2 linked regions of the Tamandua tetradactyla genome follow. Each later gene encodes a partner of the first gene's protein in a complex. Links are inferred from orthologs where the notes say so. Each region holds a gene or a part of one and is shown in the gene's direction. Other genes may lie near its edges.

What was found.
Region 2: SMARCA2 (region 1) and DPF3 share a complex: the UniProt entries of both Homo sapiens proteins name them as parts of the BAF complex. The link is inferred for Tamandua tetradactyla from reciprocal best matches to the Homo sapiens genes SMARCA2 and DPF3.

The regions. Positions count from the first base shown.
Region 1 is NC_135328.1:96,171,314-96,180,394, reverse strand, and holds the start of SMARCA2 (SWI/SNF-related matrix-associated actin-dependent regulator of chromatin subfamily A member 2), read left to right. Parts: upstream 1-4,972; 5' UTR 4,973-5,147; intron 5,148-5,633; exon of another isoform or gene 5,634-5,867; intron 5,868-7,143; exon of another isoform or gene 7,144-7,517; intron 7,518-9,081. UniProt on the Homo sapiens protein: ATPase involved in transcriptional activation and repression of select genes by chromatin remodeling (alteration of DNA-nucleosome topology).
Region 2 is NC_135338.1:31,488,416-31,497,899, reverse strand, and holds the start of DPF3 (zinc finger protein DPF3), read left to right. Parts: upstream 1-5,208; 5' UTR 5,209-5,239; coding exon 5,240-5,271; intron 5,272-9,484. UniProt on the Homo sapiens protein: Belongs to the neuron-specific chromatin remodeling complex (nBAF complex).

The DNA.
Region 1 (9,081 bases):
ACGTTTTCATTTCATAATTGTGAAACACTGTGAAATGTTCCATTTCACAAAAACTATGAAGGAATGAGATGAAGACGATAGTAAAGTTTTAAACGTCTTGCTGATCATGATGATGTTGCACCATCAAAGGTTAACATCTCCAGGTAAAATATATTCTTAGGCCAGAATTCATCATTAATGATAGCTTATGTCTAAATTTCATGTAGTCTTTTGGATAATTGTGAATGGTTTTTAACCTTTCTCTTGTCAGATCCTGTTTTTACTTCTCAACATGGTGGACAATGTGCTATTCGAAGTTCAAGCCGCAGATCTGACACTGATTTTCACCTGGGCTGTCATTACTGGCAGTCTCTCAGTCTTTGATTTCTCTGTAGAAATCTTTTTAAGCCATTTGCTTCCTAAATAGGAGGGTTGCTTGTTTAAAACTAGAAAATATTACCTTGTGAGTCCATTTACCATCGAATCAGCTTCAGGTGATATCAATACCCAGAAAGTGAAAGAACCAGAGGGGACGCCACTGTCAGCCCTCTGTGTTGGGGACTCCTGCCCTGGCCTCATGGCCTCTGCATTCGTCAGGTACAATACAGGGTATATGGCCAGCTGACTCAGGGACCATGTAAAGGCCCCACAGTGAATGAGTGTGATAAACATTAATAAGGCTCATTTAAAAAATTTTTGCATCACTACATTTCTTTTATCATTGAAAGAAAAAGAAACAGACTTTCTAACATTCTTCCCACCTCCCACTGATTTGTCTTGCCCACTCCACTTAGGAGAACCTGCCTTAGGCAAATTATCTGTCATCTCAAAAAATGTTTTCTCATCGGTAAAATGGGTTTAATATCACAAATCTCAAAGGATTTAATGGCATATGTAAAGGGCTTTTACAAATTCTGGCATACGATTTAAAGGAGAAACAAAAGGGAGTTACTATCATAATTATTATTAGTCTATTACACAATTACCATGTATTCATTTGTGTTATTCTTAGCCTAATTAAAAAAAAAAACAAAAACCCAAACAAGCAAACTCCTCTCAATACTCTTCGTGTTATGGCAAGAGCTATAGCTTCTCCTCACCTTCTCTCCCTTAAACAAAACAAAATAAAACCCAAAAACATGTCAGCCTTTTCAGCTTAGAAAATAATACAAAGCTTCTGAACACTTAGTAATCTTGTTCATTAACATGATAATTGCTAACAACAAAGATCTTATGAATTCTCTATAATTTTAATATATGTCTCATCCTTTCATTCAACAAACTTTTTTTTTTCTTTTAACAGCATACAATGTGCTGGGCACCCTGCTAATTGCTGGGGCTTCAAAGATGAATTGAACTTGCTCTACATCCTCCAGGCACTAACCATCTAGTGGAGAATACCAAACAAATAATCGCATCAAAGTGATAAGTGCTATAATGGAGGTACACACTGGTTGCTATGGAAGCAGAATAGGACAAGGGGTCTCCTCTGCCCGGGGAAGGGAAGGAGGGCCACTGGAAGGACGCTGGGCCATTGCTGAGTCTTGGAGGATGTGGGGTGAGGACCTGCATTTCAGTCAGAGGGAATGTGGACGAGGAAGGAAGTCTCCTTTGGAACCAAAAGATAGACCAGGTTTCCCAGAGCTCAGGCATTTTGAGATGGTCAATGAGGCTGGTAGGGACCTGTCCAGGCACAGCCTTGGAGAACACGCTAAGTATGAAATTTATCCTATAATGGATTGAGAATGGACCGAGGACAAACTAGAAAGTGATATGATCACAAAGAGAATTGAGGTGGTATTTTGGAGGAATGATTGTGAGGAGACAAGATCTACTGGGATTATTGATTGAGGGGAAAAAAGGAGAGAGAGAAGTGTTTATTTCTACAATAAATTTATTTGCTAATTCTAAATACATTTCTCCAATAAATTTATTTGCTAATGCTAAATTCTCTTCATTAAATTAAATGTCAGCTGATTCAGTCTGTCAAAGCTTAGTTTCCATTATTGTAGATGAAGTACCTATTCCCTAAATGGTCTTACCTGCTCTTCTTTGAAGTTAGGCAACATTTTAGTAAACATTAACAGCTTGTCTGTTGAAACTAGAAGCTCCCTAACTTTGTGCATGGAATTTTTCTTTATGAGTATTTTGTCACTAGATATCAATTTTCAAACCCAGTATCTTACTCTTTACAGAACTAAAGCAGAGTTACATAACAAGTGAATATGGCCACACAGAAATGAAAAAGTGACTTCCATCCCTTGATGCCAAACTAGAAAGAGAAAAGCTAGTTCTGAGAACACATTATGACTCATCAAAGTCCAAAACGAAAAGCTTCATGTGAATATAGCATCCTGTGCAGCCTCCTGGAGTCCTTTTAGCCTCCAACCATATTTGCTTTTGTGTGATTTTCTGCAAAACAAAAGAATCCCATCATTTTCCTCCTTAACATCAATTGTTAAATTTTGCCTTACCTCAGAGATGAAGCTCATGCTAGGTGTTCTGCATTCTTTTTGTACCAAGTGAATGATGGTGCTCTTTCATTTCTCCTGAGTTTAGGACTTATTTTATAAAATTCTTATTTGCTGTAATGCAAACCATAAACAAGATGATTCTTCAGAGGAAAGATCTGAAGGGAGAAGGTGGTGCTTTCTTAGACTAATGTGAGGGAAAAGGAGATGAAAAATCTATATTTAATCTGTGCCCCCAATGAAGATCTTGTTTTTAAATTCCCATAGTTGTGCCTCTAATAGATGGATACCATCCTCTCCTGTAGCCCCAAGTACTACATCAAAATTTTATGTGAGCTGAAGAATACACACATATACAAAGGGAATGCTTTCTTCTTTACTTTCCCTTTGACAAAATGCCAGAAGGAATGGCCAGTCTCATCATCAGTGTCTTACTAAGGTGATGTTCTCTTTGAAATTTGGCATGGCAGGTGGAGGTGGGATAAAGGACACTCATTCGTGAGGGAATAAAGATGAAGTCATCGATTTCTGCAAGTTGGCATGTGAGGTTGGCATGCAAGGGAAGCAAAAACAAATTTAAACCTAATATTATCTAATGTAATGTACATTGTCATTATCTTACAGAGCCTTTTATAGACAACTGAGTTATCTGGCTATATGATTAGTTGCAATTTATTAGACAGTTAGAAGTTAGTATTTTTATTATACTTTTACTACAATTTTTGCTTAAGATTTCTTGCTGTATATTTCTCAGTTAATAGTTATGTTGGCCCTCAGGCAGGGAAAACAAGTTCTTACAACGGATTCTTCAGGGCATACTATACTCTATTTCACTTAGGTGTGCTATCTTTTGTTGTCTTGAGGTTCACTTTGGGCTAGACAGAAAATTAGGAGGACAAAGTTAACAATCAAGTAACAAGGCCTTGGAAAACCTCAGGATGGGGGATAATTGATACTCCTAGCCACTCCAAAAACGGTGTCTTTGCACACCAGGCTTCAGCTAGCAATGGACTGGCATGTGAACAATACCTGCCACATAATGCCACATGGAGTATTTGGTGTTCTTTCCACGGCTTCTTGTCTTCAATTTATTCAGCCTGTAGTTTCAAGCATCCTAGAACTGCATTTCAGATCTGGTTGCTCAAGTAGAGTCAATGTTGCAATAGCAAAATGGTGATAGGATAGGATTTTACTCTAGGGGAAAAAATCCTCAACCAAAGTCACAGTGCACTTGGAATGACTAATTTAAGCCATTACATTACAAAATAAGGGATAAATCATAGTTTTCATAACACTCCCGTGTAGGAACAGTTTTAATTTTAAGAGTCAAGCACCTACATTAATCTGAGTCTAAAATAATAGGCCCCTGATTTAAAATCTCCCAACATTCTTTCACACTTCATAAAACTAAAAATAAAATTGTCTCAGCAAACCCTGACCTATTGGTCCGACCAAAGTACCATGTTTCAAAGAAAATTAGAACAAGAGATCTCAAAACCGTGAAGTGCCCGAGGTTTACTATTTGTAGCCTTAATTGGTCTTAAATGTGGAGTGGGAGAGAAGAGACGATGGGCTGTAGAGAAAAAGAGATTTATTCCCCCTCTTAAATCAAAAGCAGATTCCGTTCTTCAACTGCCCCCGAGCTCGCTTGCCCCGCCCCCGCATCGGGTTGTTTTTCTATATTTTTGTATATATTTTACACGAAAATGACAGATGAGGAAGGTTACAGTGCTATGTCTACTCCACGGAATATACAGAGGGGTTAAAGCGGGCTTATTTATTTATAAGGCGTTCAGCCTCTCAGCTGTTTCTCCCCTCACTGGCATTTGGAAGCTTGCAATCCTTTGGAGAAGAGACTGATTTGGCAGGAATGTTCTTTGTGCCTGCTACCCTATGGGGGGGGGGGGGGGAGGGAGCAGATTTGTAATTACAGCCCGGGGTGGGGAACGGAGAAGAAAAAGTTTCAACCGGCACGATAATGCCCCCTTTTTTCCCCCCTCGGTCAGCACCGTGCCACCAACAGCTTTTGGTGCCACTTAGAGCCTCTCCCTGTCCCCTCCTTTTCTCTCCGCAGGCTCGCACTGGCAGGCGGAGACAGTTAAATTCCAGCACCTTCCCCACATACCCCCAAACTACTACGCGCTATTACTACGGCTTCCCTCCCTTTCGCTTCGCCTCCTCCTCCCCTCCAGCCTCCCCGGAGGCGGCCCGCAGCGCCTGGGGAAGAGGACTGCCAAGGCAGGAATAACAGACGCCCAACTCCATCAGGGCTCGGGGCTTTCTGCGTCCTGCGCAGTTTATCCGCCCCAGGCAAAAACACAGCCCTAGAGCCGGCGCCTTGCAGCCACACACGGATCCAGTACAGTAGAGCTGTCTCGGTCTACATTCTTGCACACCGCCCCCTCCTCCCCCCGCGCTCGCGGAGTCGCCGAGCCGAGCGAGTGACAGGCGCGTCCCACCAACCCGCGCCCGGCCGGGCAGGGAGGAGCGGCTCTCGGGGCCAACTGCGGCGCGTCTTCCGGCGCCCGTGGAGGCGGCGAGGGTGGGACGCGGGGCGGAGCCCGAGTTTAGGAAGAGGAGGGGATGGCTGTCATCAATGAAGTCATATTCATAATCTAGTCCTCTCTCCCTCTGTTTCTGTACTCTGGGTGACTCAGAGAGGGAAGAGATTCAGCTAGCACACTCCTCGCGAGCAAGGTAAATATAACTTACAACTCCTTTCTCCTCTTTCCCCTCCCTCGGGGCTGCCCGCTGGAGCCGCGGCGCAAACCCCCTCCAGCACTGCGCCGCCTTCGCTGGGGATTATTCATTATTCTCCTAATTATTATTTATTGTGCATGCACGGAGACCAAAACAAACAGGCGGGCCAACCGACACAACAACAAAAAAGCCCGCCTCCTCCCCGCGGGCCTCAGGTGGAATGCTCTAACGACAGCTGCCGGGCGGGTGTGGAAGAAACGGGAAAGTTTCAACTGAACCTTGCTGTTCTAATAATAATAATAATAATTACTACTTAGAGGGAGCCAGGAGGAAAAACCAACAAACCACAGCCTTGACCCTGTGTAGGCAGTCGGCAATGCGCTGCCAACTTAAGGTTGCAACACACACACACTCGGCAAGGTTGTAATCCGCCCCATCCCCTTAAAAGCCGGGGGGGGGGGGGGGAGGCTTGGGGGGAGGTGGAGGAGAATGGAAACGCGACAGTTCATCCCGAGCAATCCTCCCCGGAAGAGTTGGAAGGGGAGCGGGAGAGGAGGACGAAGAGTCCGGGCAGGCGGCGGGGCGCCAGCGGACGCGGCTGCCACCGCTCCGGGGGATTTGTTTAAAGGGCTCCGACTGCGGAGACGCGAGTGGATTGCGGCGGGAGAAGCCGAAGCTGACGCGCGGAGAAAGCGGCAGCTACAAGCCGCCGGGCTGGTGAGCGCCGGATCCGAGGTGTCACCTGCACTTTCCGCGTTCCCTCCGGCGGGGACGGGGCCGCTGGCAGATAGACAGCAAGGCCTTTGGGCAAAGCGGCTACGGGGCGGGGGGAGGGCGGGGGGTACGCCCCGGGCGCTGCGGGCATCCCTGCTCCTGGTACCTGGCGGCCGTGCAGGCTCGGGTGTTGAAGTTCGGGGTGTCCGGCCCCGGCAGCATCGCTGGGAGGGAGAGAGGAGGCCCCGAAGAAGGAGGTCGGAGGTGCCAGCCAGGTTCAGTTACACTACCCTCCCCCTCCCCGGGTTTGTTTTCTTTTGCTTCGCTTCTTTCCCTTGGCTAGGGCTTGGGGAGCAGCGGGCGTGGGTCGCCGGTGATCGTTCGGGTGCTAGGGGCTCGCTGGGGCCCAGGAGAGCCAAGGCGGCTGCGGGCCGAGGAGGCCATGATCCGGATAATCCTCTCTGCCTGACTGTCACAAACAGAACTCTCACGCACCCGGGCAGCGGTGGTGGCGTTCGCCGGCTAAAAGGGAAAGGGCTGAGGGGGAGGATAGGGGGTAGCGAGGGAGGGAGGCTGGGAGATGGGGTGGGAGCTTCCTCCCAACGATGACACGGACCCCTTCCTTCTCGCTCCATGCTTTCGAGTTTGCTTTATTCCCATCCCAACCTGGTTTACCCCTTACTCAGCTCTTCCAACCCCCCTTCACCCGCCCGCCTTCCCTCCTCCCGTTTGCGTTGCAAATGCTGCCATGCCATCTGCAAAGGTGTCGCGATGCACTTCCCCAAATAACCGGTCCGGCGCGCCAGTCCCCGGGCGCCCACCGACCGCAGAGCACACGCCGAGCCCGGTGCCCTGGTACCCTGCACAGGCCTCACAGCCTGGGCGCAGTTGCACCTTGTGGGGCGGGGCACAGCAGTGCGGGCTCCGGGACACCCAGCGCGCTGGCCTGGGCACTCGCGCCGGTTTCCGGTACACGCGGGGAAACCGCCTGCTGCCAGTGTCTGCGCGCTTGCCCCCGCCTCCGCCGCCCGATTGCTATTATTTTTATACGGTCGCCGTTTGCGGCGTATGGTGGTGAGCGCCAGGCTTGCCGGGCTGCTTGGGGGTTGGGGGTGGAGAGAAGTTGGACGTGGATCAGGCAGGAAAAAAAAAAAAGTTTGGCAGGGAGGCTAACTACGGTGGAGGGATGGGAGGGGGCGGCGAGCGCCAGCAGCTTGCGTCTCGGCGCCCTCGGGGCCGGGGCGAGGGTGCCTGCGCGTGAGTGTGAGTGTGCGTTGTGCGCGTCGGGGCGAGTGCGTCTGGAGTCGCCGCGCGGGCAGCCGCTCCCGCCCGCGCCCTCCCGAGGAGCTCAGGGAGGGAAAGACGAGGTTTGGCGGCGGGAGCTGCTGGGGGTGACGTGCTCGTGTGAATGTGAGTGTGTGTGTGCGCGCGCGAGCGGCAGAGAATCAGGAAGTCACAGCAGCGAAGCGCACACAGACATGTTTGATCGCCGTGACATGACGCGCGCGAGGAAGGAAGCGGCGGCGGGGGCCGGGCCCCGGGCTCCGGCGCGGGCCTAGAGCTCTGGGGAAGAACCACGCTCCGGGCGGTGGACCGCGCCGACCCCGCAGGCTCTCGGAGTCCCAGCGCCGCTTTTTGTTCCGAGTCCCCCAGGTAAGCAGCCTGCGCCGCCACTGCCACCGCCCGCGTTGTGCGGAGCTTTCCAGCTCTTTCCCTGCCGGCCCCCTCTGATCTCCCCGCTCGCCTTTCCTGCCTGCAAAGTCAGGCAGGCGGGGGGAACTGGCTCCTTGTCCTCCCATCGATTGCGTGGAAAACTTTACAGCGGGAGGCACCGTGGAGGAGGAAAAAGAAGGCCTTGCTGGCTGCTGTCGCTTGTCAGACCTTTCTCCTTCAGGTCCGGAGAGTGTGAGTCGCTGCGCCCTGGGGCTGTTCCACCTTCAAACTTCGGGCCTAAATGTGCCTCCGACTCTCGCAGGATTTGCTCCAGCAATAAGATAAATATTCAAAGTCGTCCATTTGGTCTGGTCAGGCGTTTGGATTTTTTTAAGGGAAGAAGGGAGTCGAGGGAGTGGGGGTGTTGTGCAGAATCCATTCCTTATTTAATATCTGCACCGTGTGTTATGTAATTTTTGTAGCACATGGGTGCAAAGCCCATACTGGGCTTCTCCCCTCCTTTGTTTATATAACTTTTGGGAGAGTTTTGTACGGTTGTCGTCTTTTTTTCTCCTTCCCTAGCTTGGTGAAGGTTAGTGCTTTTGAAAAAAAGCAAGCGGCCCGAATTAGTATTTTTTGAAGCGGTGTCATCATTGTCTTCTGGTCATTATGGAGACACGTATTCCTAAATACTCACCAACTGTGTAATGTTAGAGCGTAAGGAAGACATTAAAAATCCACGTTTGCTTGTTTACTGCATTGAGTCGCTTTTTACGTCTATGTGTTACCGATAGCTGAGTTAACTTTTAAAATGACATTTCAAAGGACTTTTTTTTTTTTTTATGTCTGTTTGTGTGCTCTGCTTGAGTGGACAGTATTGTTGGCTGCTTCTTGAGTAGAAGACAAATTTTCACCAACCATCTAAGACTCAGAAACTCCTGACAGCTCTATCAAAATAAAAGCCATGTCCAATGTTATATGTGTGTATATACTGTATATACATATTCAAATATTTTCAGATTTTTTTTTCCCAACAGTTGTTTGGGAGCGGTAGGGGGCTGCTGACGGCAGCACTACCCAGGCTTGCTTGCCAGTATTGCTTCCAGGCTACTTCTAGCACACTAGAAAGAGTTAAGGGGTGTGGTGGGTTTGAATCTGAGTTGGTGCATTGTTATGCAAATTGAGACACACTTTCTCTTTTAGGAATCTAATTGCCCTTTTATTCTCCTGAACTTTTTCTTTTAAGCTCTTTCACAACCTATTAAGTTCAAAAGATATATATTTATTGAAGTAGATGGAGAAAATACACCCTATAGATCAGAGGTCCATTTCTCTTGCTGGGGGCATTAACCATATTGGTTTACAAAAACACACATTTGAAAGTAAGTTAGGAGTTTGGGGTATCCAAACCCTTGACGACTTGGCAGAAGTGAGGGAGAGCTTCCTTCAATGCAGCTTTTCTCTTGTGAGTTACATCCCAGCATCAGAACTAGCTGCACTGTGGTGTTTCATAGAAAATATTCACCGCAAGAGTGTGTTCAAAGCAGCCTTAGATCTTTTCTTT
Region 2 (9,484 bases), on another chromosome or scaffold:
TTCTCCATAAAGCCTTACTGAGGACCTTTGACTCGTATACCCTAGTATATTCCCTAATATATCCTTTATACTAGTTTATGAAAATCTCAATGTCTTGAAACCTTGGGAACCCAAAGGAATGAACCTTTGATGGTGTCCATAGTAGTCATTTAATAAACACCCAAGGACGCATCCATTGGGATCCCATGATCCCTGCCAGGAAAAGGGGACTGGCTGAGCAGGCTGCTCTTCCCTTTTAAGTCACATTAAGTAATTGCTCTGCTGGCTCATGGGGCGGGCCTGCCATCGTTATTCTCCCTCCAGATGCAGGATGAGATCTTTTTGAGGGTTGTTTTCATGTCTGGTTTGTTTTTATTTTGCCACCTGTGCCTAGCACAATGTCTCCCTCATAGAAATTCCTCAATGGATGAGTGACTGAATGAGCTAAGTTAGTGGGAAGCAGCAAGCATTGATTCCTTTTTATGACTCTACTCAGAAATATGTGATTTTCGAGGCCTGGCCCTAGGAGCATCACCCAAATCCAGAGCTTGATATGCTTTTTCTTTTCTACGCTTTGAGAAATTGTAAAGGGAGTAAGAATCCTTCCCTACCATTTTCCCTAAGAAAAGAGAAAGCCAGGTTATGTTTTTCTTTTTTTAACTTAAAGAAAGTTATTGTGGTTATATATGCATATATGATATATAAATTGCCATTTTAACCATTTTAAGTGTATAATTCAATGGCATTAATTGTATTTACATTGTGCTACCATCACCATCATCCATTACCAAAATTTTTCATCACTCCAAATAGGAACTCTTTACCTATTAGGCAATAATTCCCCATTCCCCTCTCACCCAAGCCCCTGATAACCTCTGATCCACTTTCTGTATCTATGAATTTGCTATTCTGTATAAATGAAGCCATATAAGTTATCCTTTTGTGTCTGGCTTTTTTCACTTGGCATAATGTGTTCAAGGTTCATCCATATTATAGCATGTATCAGCGCTTCTTTCCTTTTTATGGCTGAATAATATTCATATATATATTCTGCTGCAGTTTATCCATGCATCGGATGGTGAACACTTGGGTTGTTTCCACCTTTCTGCTATTGTAAATAATGCTGTCATGAATATTGGTTTACACGTATCCATGTGATTCCCTGCTTTCAATTATTTTGAGTATACTTAGGAGAGGTATTGCAGGTCATGTGGTATGGTTAGCTTTTTTATAGGCTGCAGTTTTTATGCCCTCTATTCTTCAAAAGAATTCCTCTTCAGCTCAGTGCCTAGAATGTACCAAAGCTGGTTCTGGATCTCAGGGAACCAGCCCAGGTCAACCAGCTGCCCTGGGCATGGCTGGTTAGTCTGCAGATAAATGGAGGGATTGCTCTTGTTCTAATGCCCGCAAGACCCGAGACTCCTTCAAGCCCCAGAGCCCACCAGGGACTGCATTTATTTTGGACGGCTTCTGTGGTATGCTTCCTCTTTTAAATGAACTCTGGCTGTTCTTGAAGTTTGCATCTCCTTTCTTTACTTCCCTCTCGTATATGGATGTGCCTTTAAAAAGTCAGCTGGAAAGTTTGGCACCTGCTACAAAAGTGCCATTCTTCCCTACTTCTAGACGGACATCTCCTCATTGCTGAGACAAACTTCAGACTTTTTAGGAGTGAACAGGTATGGGTGCCCCTTGTGGTTTGGGTGCATGGGTCCTTGTTGTACCCCAAATGTTCCTTTGGATGGGTGGCATTGAACATGTACCTGAGCTGGACCAGAGAGTCTGCTAATTGATAAGGTTAGATTTGAAAAGATTATGCAGAATGAATGCATATGACTGAGATAGGCCCCACGCTTACTTCCCTGGTAACACACAGCCTTGAGCAGCACTGTCCATAGAAATACAATGGGAGCCACACGTGCAATTTTAAATTTTCTAGTAGTCACATTAAAAGAAGTAAAAAGAAATAGGGAATATTAGCTTCAATAATGTATTTATTTACCTAATATATCCAAAATATCATTTCCACATGTAATCAGTATAAAAAATGATTTATGAGATATGTGACATTCCTTTTTATCATACAAAGCCTTATGAAATCCAGTGTGTATTTTATACTTATGACATCTCAATTTGTACTTGCCACATTTCAAGTGCTCAATAGCCACAGGTAGTCTCTGGCTACCATATTGGACAGTGCAGCTCTAGACTCTCAGGTGGGATGGGGAAGAGGTTATTTTGGACCCACTCTGCCTAGCAAATTAGGCTGCCTAGGCAGCTATATAAAGATGGAAGAAATGGGGCTGGGTGGAGTATATTCAAGTATATGAATATCTATAGAGCTTTAGAAATGTGATTTTAAAAGTGTCTTGAAAGTCTACTGAGCAAGAGGACATGGTTTAAGTAGTGAAATGACCCCTGATCGAAAAATTCCTGTTTATTATTTTTTCCTCAAAGTTATTCAGTTGCCATTTTTCTCAGAGCAATAAGTTAAATAAAGTTTAACTATGTACCTTATACCATCAGGAAAGAATTAAGTATCTGTAAAAATAATGGTCACCATTTTTCGAGATCTTGCTATGTGCCAGACACTTGACATATATTATTCAATCCTGGCAAGAGCCGTATGAAAATTCTATTATTATTATTGCCACTTTTCGGATGAGGACACTGACACCATAGAGTAGCTAAGTAAACTGGCCCAAGATAATGCAGCTGGAAAGTGAAGGACTCAGGAAAACAGATTTCAGAGCCCACACTCCGTTAACATATACAACACTGCCTCACAAAACTAAACATTCTCTGAAATTCTACTAGGCTCCTATCACCTTTAGGCATGTCCATTCTAAGCCCTCTTGCTTTTAAGCATTCTGGTGAAAAACATGTGTCTTTTTGGTGGGTTGGTATATTTAAGACATATTTGGAGCATTTGGCTTCATGCCATACCATTGCAAATTGGCAGAATGGGACCTGCTTTACTGTAGAAACATTGTGATCTATGATAAAGAAGATAAAGTTGAAAATAATAATAACTTATATAGCTGAGAACTGACAAAAGGCAAATTCACAATTCTGTTTATTTAGAAGTTGTACCTGCAGTGTCTGAATTAAAATGCTTTCTACTGGGTTACAAAAAAAACCCAAGATTAACCTACTTAAAAAAACATAGTTTTATTTCATTATTTTTTCGATTTTCACATTATAAAATGTAACTTAGATGTTTCAATTCCAGATGAAAACTCTCTCAAAATGAAGGCAAAGAAAAAGTTTGAAAAATCATGGGCTGCCACTTTCATATGTGCCAGATATTAGGAATTATGCCAAGGCCTTAACACAGTAAACTATATGTATATGCTTTGAGTATATATTTTTTCTTTTAGATGTAATACTTTGTTTTTCTTCTCTTCTCCCATTAAATTGTAAGCATTGTTCAGGGCAGGTGCAATACTATATTTCTTACTTCTTTTATAAAGCTGCATATATTAAAATATGTTGTCCTTCAATTCGAACTCGTGGGAATTATGACTAATACTTCAACCTCATCTGAGAAGCCTGAACTTCTTCATCTGAACATAATAGTTGCTTCTCAGTGATATCAGGGTCCATCTCAGGCAAAGATAAGCTTTGGAACTAAGCCCTTAATATGTTTGAATTAATGAGGAAGGGTGTTTTCAAACTTCAATTATTGAAAAGGGGACAACGTTTTTCAAACTGCCATCTCTGGCAAGGTGCTGTCAAAAAAGTCACAAAGGCAATCCATAGAACCTGGCTCTGCTATTAACTAATCAGAAAGAGAGGAGTTAAAAATTTCAAGTCTATTACAAACATACTGATTCAGCCATGTTCTGTTTATCTGTAACTCTAGTGGTGTAGGGAGTTGAACTCTGAAGTTTTGGAACTTTTTTTTTCTTTTAAAAAAAATTCATTGCCTTGAGAGGAGCGCTGAGAAAGGAAGTGAGAGGGCAAAGCTTTGAGAGGGCAATCTGGCATCTCCATTCTCCCCTTCTCACCCCTCCCCCACTATCTTAGCTATTTGACCTGATTAAACAGCCAGACTTCTCTATGCTAACGAGGGCCCTGCCTGCCCTATTCTCGACAGTACGATTTCATCCACCCGGAGCTTCCCGGCTGCCCAGTGGAAGCCTGATTTCGCAGAAGTCTCCCAGTTTTGTCAGGGGTTCGCCAGTGAGGGAATTCACACTAACTTGAAGCAGAAGGTCTCTCGGAACGCCTCGGGTCACACCGGATTATTCATTAGCAAATTCTTTTCAGCTTCTACCTAAATAGTGAAAGATGACGCCAGAATCGCGTGTGCCACTCCCCGAAAGGGACTCTAGCAACACCCATTCTAGGCTCCATAACTCCTGTCTTCAAGTTATTCGCTTTCCTAGTAACAGAAGGCGCTTCCACTGGTTTCCCTAAACCTCCCTTATCCCTAAGCCTAAAGGTCAGAGAGCTTAGCTCTCCAGTTGGCGGGATCCGCGATCATTTCCGAAGTTTCGGGAGTGTGGGGTGAACAGAAGGGGTGGTATTGGGGAATCGCTCAGTGTGACCACCCTGCATTACGTAACGAAAGCCCGGGCTGCTGTAGAGAGCGAACTTGACATTGAGACATTCAGGGGGAGGGGAGTTGCTGTCCTGCAGTCGTCAGGAACAGCGGCGGCAGTGCGGCGGCAGTTACAGGGGAGAGGAAGGTGGCCGAGATAAAGAAAACACTTCGGGAGTAAGAATATTAAAAAGTCGTAGGACCCAGAGCATTAGCAAACGGCTACGTTTAGTACATTGTTTGACGAAACAGCAAGCTTTCAACTTTTGCACGGGAACAAGAGGACTTGCTCTTTGGGAGAGTAAAAACACTATTAGCAAAGCCGAAAGATAATGAATGGGGTTCAGTGGTTTGCTGGCGATACTTAAATATTTCTGTTCAAGATCGCAAATTTTGCAGCTATTTAGAAAAGTAGGGTCTCAGACCAAACTAGAATACTCGTCCCGTGCGTCTCCAATTTCCCCAAACCGAAAAGGAGCTGCTCGCGCGGTACTGCCCCTTTAAGACCTGCTCGCTCTTGGGCTCTACAAAAGGGAGTGACCTCTGGGCTTTGACAGCTCCCCTAATAACTACCATCGCGCAGGCCCTGCCCACCTGGCGACCAGCCGCGCCGATTGGCCGGCGGGCCGGTATCCCGTGTTCTGATTGGCTCGCCGCTTCCCCTGAGCGAACCTTTAGAACTCTGAGACAGACAATATTCTGTTACATTGTAGCAAAATGGCGACTGTCATTCACAACCCCCTGAAAGCGTAAGTAAGGCTAAAAAATGTACATATTCCGCGTGGTTTCAATATGAAAAAAAGGCGCCTTCTCCGTGCTGAGCGCTGCCAAAGCACTGCGCTTGCAGGCGCCTCCAGTCACCGCGGGGCTTCTCTCTTTTCTTTCAGCTCCTACTTCATCTTTTTCTTTTCCCCCAACGCACAGAAATGTCAGGAGATGCAATTAACAAGAAGAAAATTGTTACATTTGGGTTCTGCTTAATTGGTGGACGGAGAGAGAGAAGGGTTATCGGCAGGGTAGCCTGGCGCCCGAGCGCTCCACAGCTAGGGGGATTGCGGGCAGCTTGGGGACAGCGCGGTCTCCGGAGCCCCTGGGCTCGCCGGGTGGCGAGCGCCGCTCGGGGAGCGGTCGAGCTGGGGGCTAGTGCCGGGCAGGGGCCGCCTGGGTATATTCGGCTGAGTCCCGCGCCTCAGAGCCCGCAGTCTCCGCCGGGTGGCTTGGTCCGCGCGGCAAGCGGATCGCGGTGGCTCAGGAGTTTGCAGGGCGCTCTTCGCCTTCCGATCGCTCGCGGGGAGTTTGGGCAAACCTTCCGGAGTTGGAAGGACCGCGGGGGGGGAGCAGCGGGTCCCGGGAGCCCTCGGGCCCAGGTGGCTGCCCCGGGCTTTCCTGCCGGGGCAGCCCTCGGAGCATGACGGCGCTCCGGGCGGTAGCCGGTGTGCATGTATGCGTGTGTGTTTGCGGGCGAACTGGCCGTAGTAAATTAATGACTCGGGTTAACTTGGGGTTGATTTGGAGGCAGCGAAGCTGCAGGTCTTATGAATGGTGTTCTTGCTTCCCCTGGGTGAAATGCCGAGGCGTGCGGAGAGGCGGCTTGGGGCCCCCGGCCTGAGCGGCAGTGTCTGCTCCCGGCCAGAGCAAGGGGCAGGTGCCTCTGGCCGCCGCCGGGAGACTTTGAGCGGACGCCCAGATCCGGGACGAAGCGGGGGGCGGCGGGGTGGGGGTGGGGGGGCGGGCTGAGCAAGGACATGCGGGGGCCAGTCCCCGGGTTCGACAGCCAATTCCTGCCTGCCTGCCTTCCTCCTTCTTTTCATCCTGGCTTCCTTCCTTCCTTTCAGTCGGTGGAACTGTTAAGCCGCCAAGTCCGCTTGCTATCGCGGAGCCGGGGGTGGGCTCAGAAAACTAGCATCGCTCTAAGGGGGATGATGTTGGCTGTGCTGTTGGCAGAGGGGGGGGGGGGAGGCTCCCTCCGGATTCGCGGCGCGACGTGGGCTCGGGATCGGTGCCCATTCCACCAGGACTTCCCTGCTGGGATGGAAGCCTCGGGCTAGGGGAGGGGATGTCCGGGCGGAGGGGAGTTTCGTGTCCCTTGTGCGTTGCCTAAACAGATCCTGGTTCTTTCACCCGCGCGCGTCCGCGTCCGCCTCCCGGGCTCCTCCGGGAGTTTAAAACCAGGTTCGCACCCGGAGGCAGTAGACAGCTCTCGAACGCGAAGGAACGCGCTGGGAGAATCGGCCGTATTTGCACTGGTTAACTTCTCACCAGCAATAAGGGAAAAGGATAGGAATGTCCCAGTTTTCGGAGTTTTAAACATATATATAATTAAAGGTCGGGTTGGGGAGGCGGGGGAGGGGCATTGGAAGCTAAGGCTGATCCGAGAGGAGTCCCCGGCTTTCAGCTCTCCGTGGGAAGCTCGGATACACAACACTTGAACGCCACGGCGTTTCACCCAAGAAAGAAAATGTTTTATGGCAGAATAAATGGGCGTAACTTCTCCGCATCCTCGTTTGCAGTCGCTCGCGCTGCTGCACAGCCGATGCTGTGAGTTTCTATCGAATCCAGAGCCGATTTGCAGTTTCCCCATTTTCAGCCGAAATCGCGTATCTGGGCTGATGCCATCTGATAAACTCAAGTTAGAGAAATCTATTTCGCATGTGCGCCGGGTTTGTTTTCTATAGGGAAAGCTGTACCCTCGTTTTCCAGGAGCCAGTTTATGCGCTGGTGCAACGTCTTCCGGCTCCAGGGTTCCCTTGCTCGCTCCAGTATTTTTTTTTTTAACCATAGGAGGATGCATGTTTGGTTTGGGTAGGGTGTCTGTGTAGGGGTGGAGTTAAGGGTAGGGGAAGAGACAGAGAGGCGGGAAAAGGAGGCTAAATCCCGACTGCTTAGTGGAATTTGTTCTGAATTATGCTTGCACTTTATATAATTAGAAACAGTTGCAGTGTCATGTACTTGTAATTCTGCTTCCCCCCCCCCCCCCCCACTGACTTACACACAACACCTTGCCTGCTTTTTCCAGGTGAAAGTTGAGTGGTCATTTATAGTTAACCGCCCCTTTTTGCATCCCAACCCCTTTCCCTGGGGGTGAGGGGGTGTAAACAATACCCCCGCGCCCTCGACTATTTTTAAACTACTCACGCTGGAGCACGCACGGTGTTATGGGGAGACCGACACCATCTGCCTTTATTTTTTAAAACGACTTGTTTAATAACACATTTTATATATTTCATTTGTCTTTTAAAAGTTGCCGATCAGGAAACAATACACACATGAATAAATTATGCATGGGATAAATTAGAACAAAGCGCGGAGACACATCCAGGGAAGGGGACGGATGGCGGTGCTGGGAGGAGGGGGAAGCCGGGAGAACGGTTTGGAGAGCTCTGTTTTTATCCTCCTGTGTCCCTCCTGACAATGAAACGGAGCTGAACGACATTAGCATTTTCTCTGTGTGCATTCTGAGTCTTTTCTCCCTTTTCTTAAAAGAAAAAAAGCCACCACCATCGATGCCCCCTATAGAAACTGGTCACACAAAGGTTTCGGGTACTGGGGAATAGCGAGGTAGGAGGTAACTGTGCTGCGAAGAAGCAGGCTCAGGTCTCGTGCAACCCCTCTGTAGGGCTCTGCTTACCCTAAGCATGGGCCATTTTTCACTACATTAGCTTTATCCATGTGGGACATTCAATAATTCAATAGCCTGGGTAACTGGATGGCACAATTTCAGTCTCATTGCTTTGGGGTCTTCCTTAGGGTCCCAGTTCCTGACACCACATCTTCCTTAGCAGCCTGGCTTTTCTTCCTGCTGGTCTTTGATCTCCCCTCTACTTCCTTTCTTATTGCCCCTTGGTGTACCCTCCTCACCCCCTTCCTCTCAGAAGCTGACAGCCTGGCTTCTCTCTCTGTTGTTGCTTTAACTCTTATTACTGCCCAACAGGGTGTTAGAGGCAGAAACAGGAGCCGGTTGGACTGATCAGATCACAAAGGGGTTGGCTGCGGCAGGTGGCTCCACAACCAAGCAGCCACATCTGGACAAATAGAATTTAAAAGCATTTATATGGGCATGTATGATGTGTAAATGTATGTTACACATTATTTAATTTAGCAGCTACATTGTCTGAGCCTAGATGTGTGAGAATCACCCTCATTTCTTACGTATGCAGGCAAGATGAAGGCCAGGTAGTAAAGTGAATATATGTAGGCATCATAAGCAGGGATTTGATAAAGGGCTGTGTGGATTGTATTCTGGCTGGGGTCTGCGCACCTAGGAACCTTCATGCTTTTAATCTAAATTCTAATCTTAATTCCTATCTAGTTCAGGTAAATCACCCCCCCCCCCAATCTGCTATTAGCACTTTAAACAACTTACTCTTTTATTAAGTTATCAAAAGCCTGGTTTATATGTACTTAACTGGGAATGTCTGCCACCTTCTGCCAGACTTGATTATGCACATATGTACCCATTAGTATAACTGTCTGCATAGAAAAGAATAACTCATTATTATTTCATAATTCTATAAAACAGCAGGGCTTTACCTCAAGTAACTATAAAGAATGAGGCCAGTAAACTATTTTGTCCTGTTTATAACCATGAACATACATATACATAATTGTATTGAAACTTTCCTAAGTGTGTCCCCTCGCTTGGAGGTATGTGTTCTGTTATTTAGCACACAACTCTGATACTTACTTAGCCAAAGTCAAACAGGGTTGGTCCTTGTGTAGAGATGGACCTCAAATCTTCACCTCTTTACACTTTCTCTGTTCTCATGTAAAGTGGTTCTGTGCATTGAAAGTTGCTTGTCACCACTTAGAAGCCAAACGTCACTCTTGCTGTAGCACTTAGTTTAGATATCAGAGAGGAAGGGGTAGGGGGCACATTCCGAGTTCTAATCTCTACTTAGCTCTTTCTGTTGGGGTGGAGGCAGAGGCATGTGGGAGGTACTAAGTGGGGGGAATATTGAGATT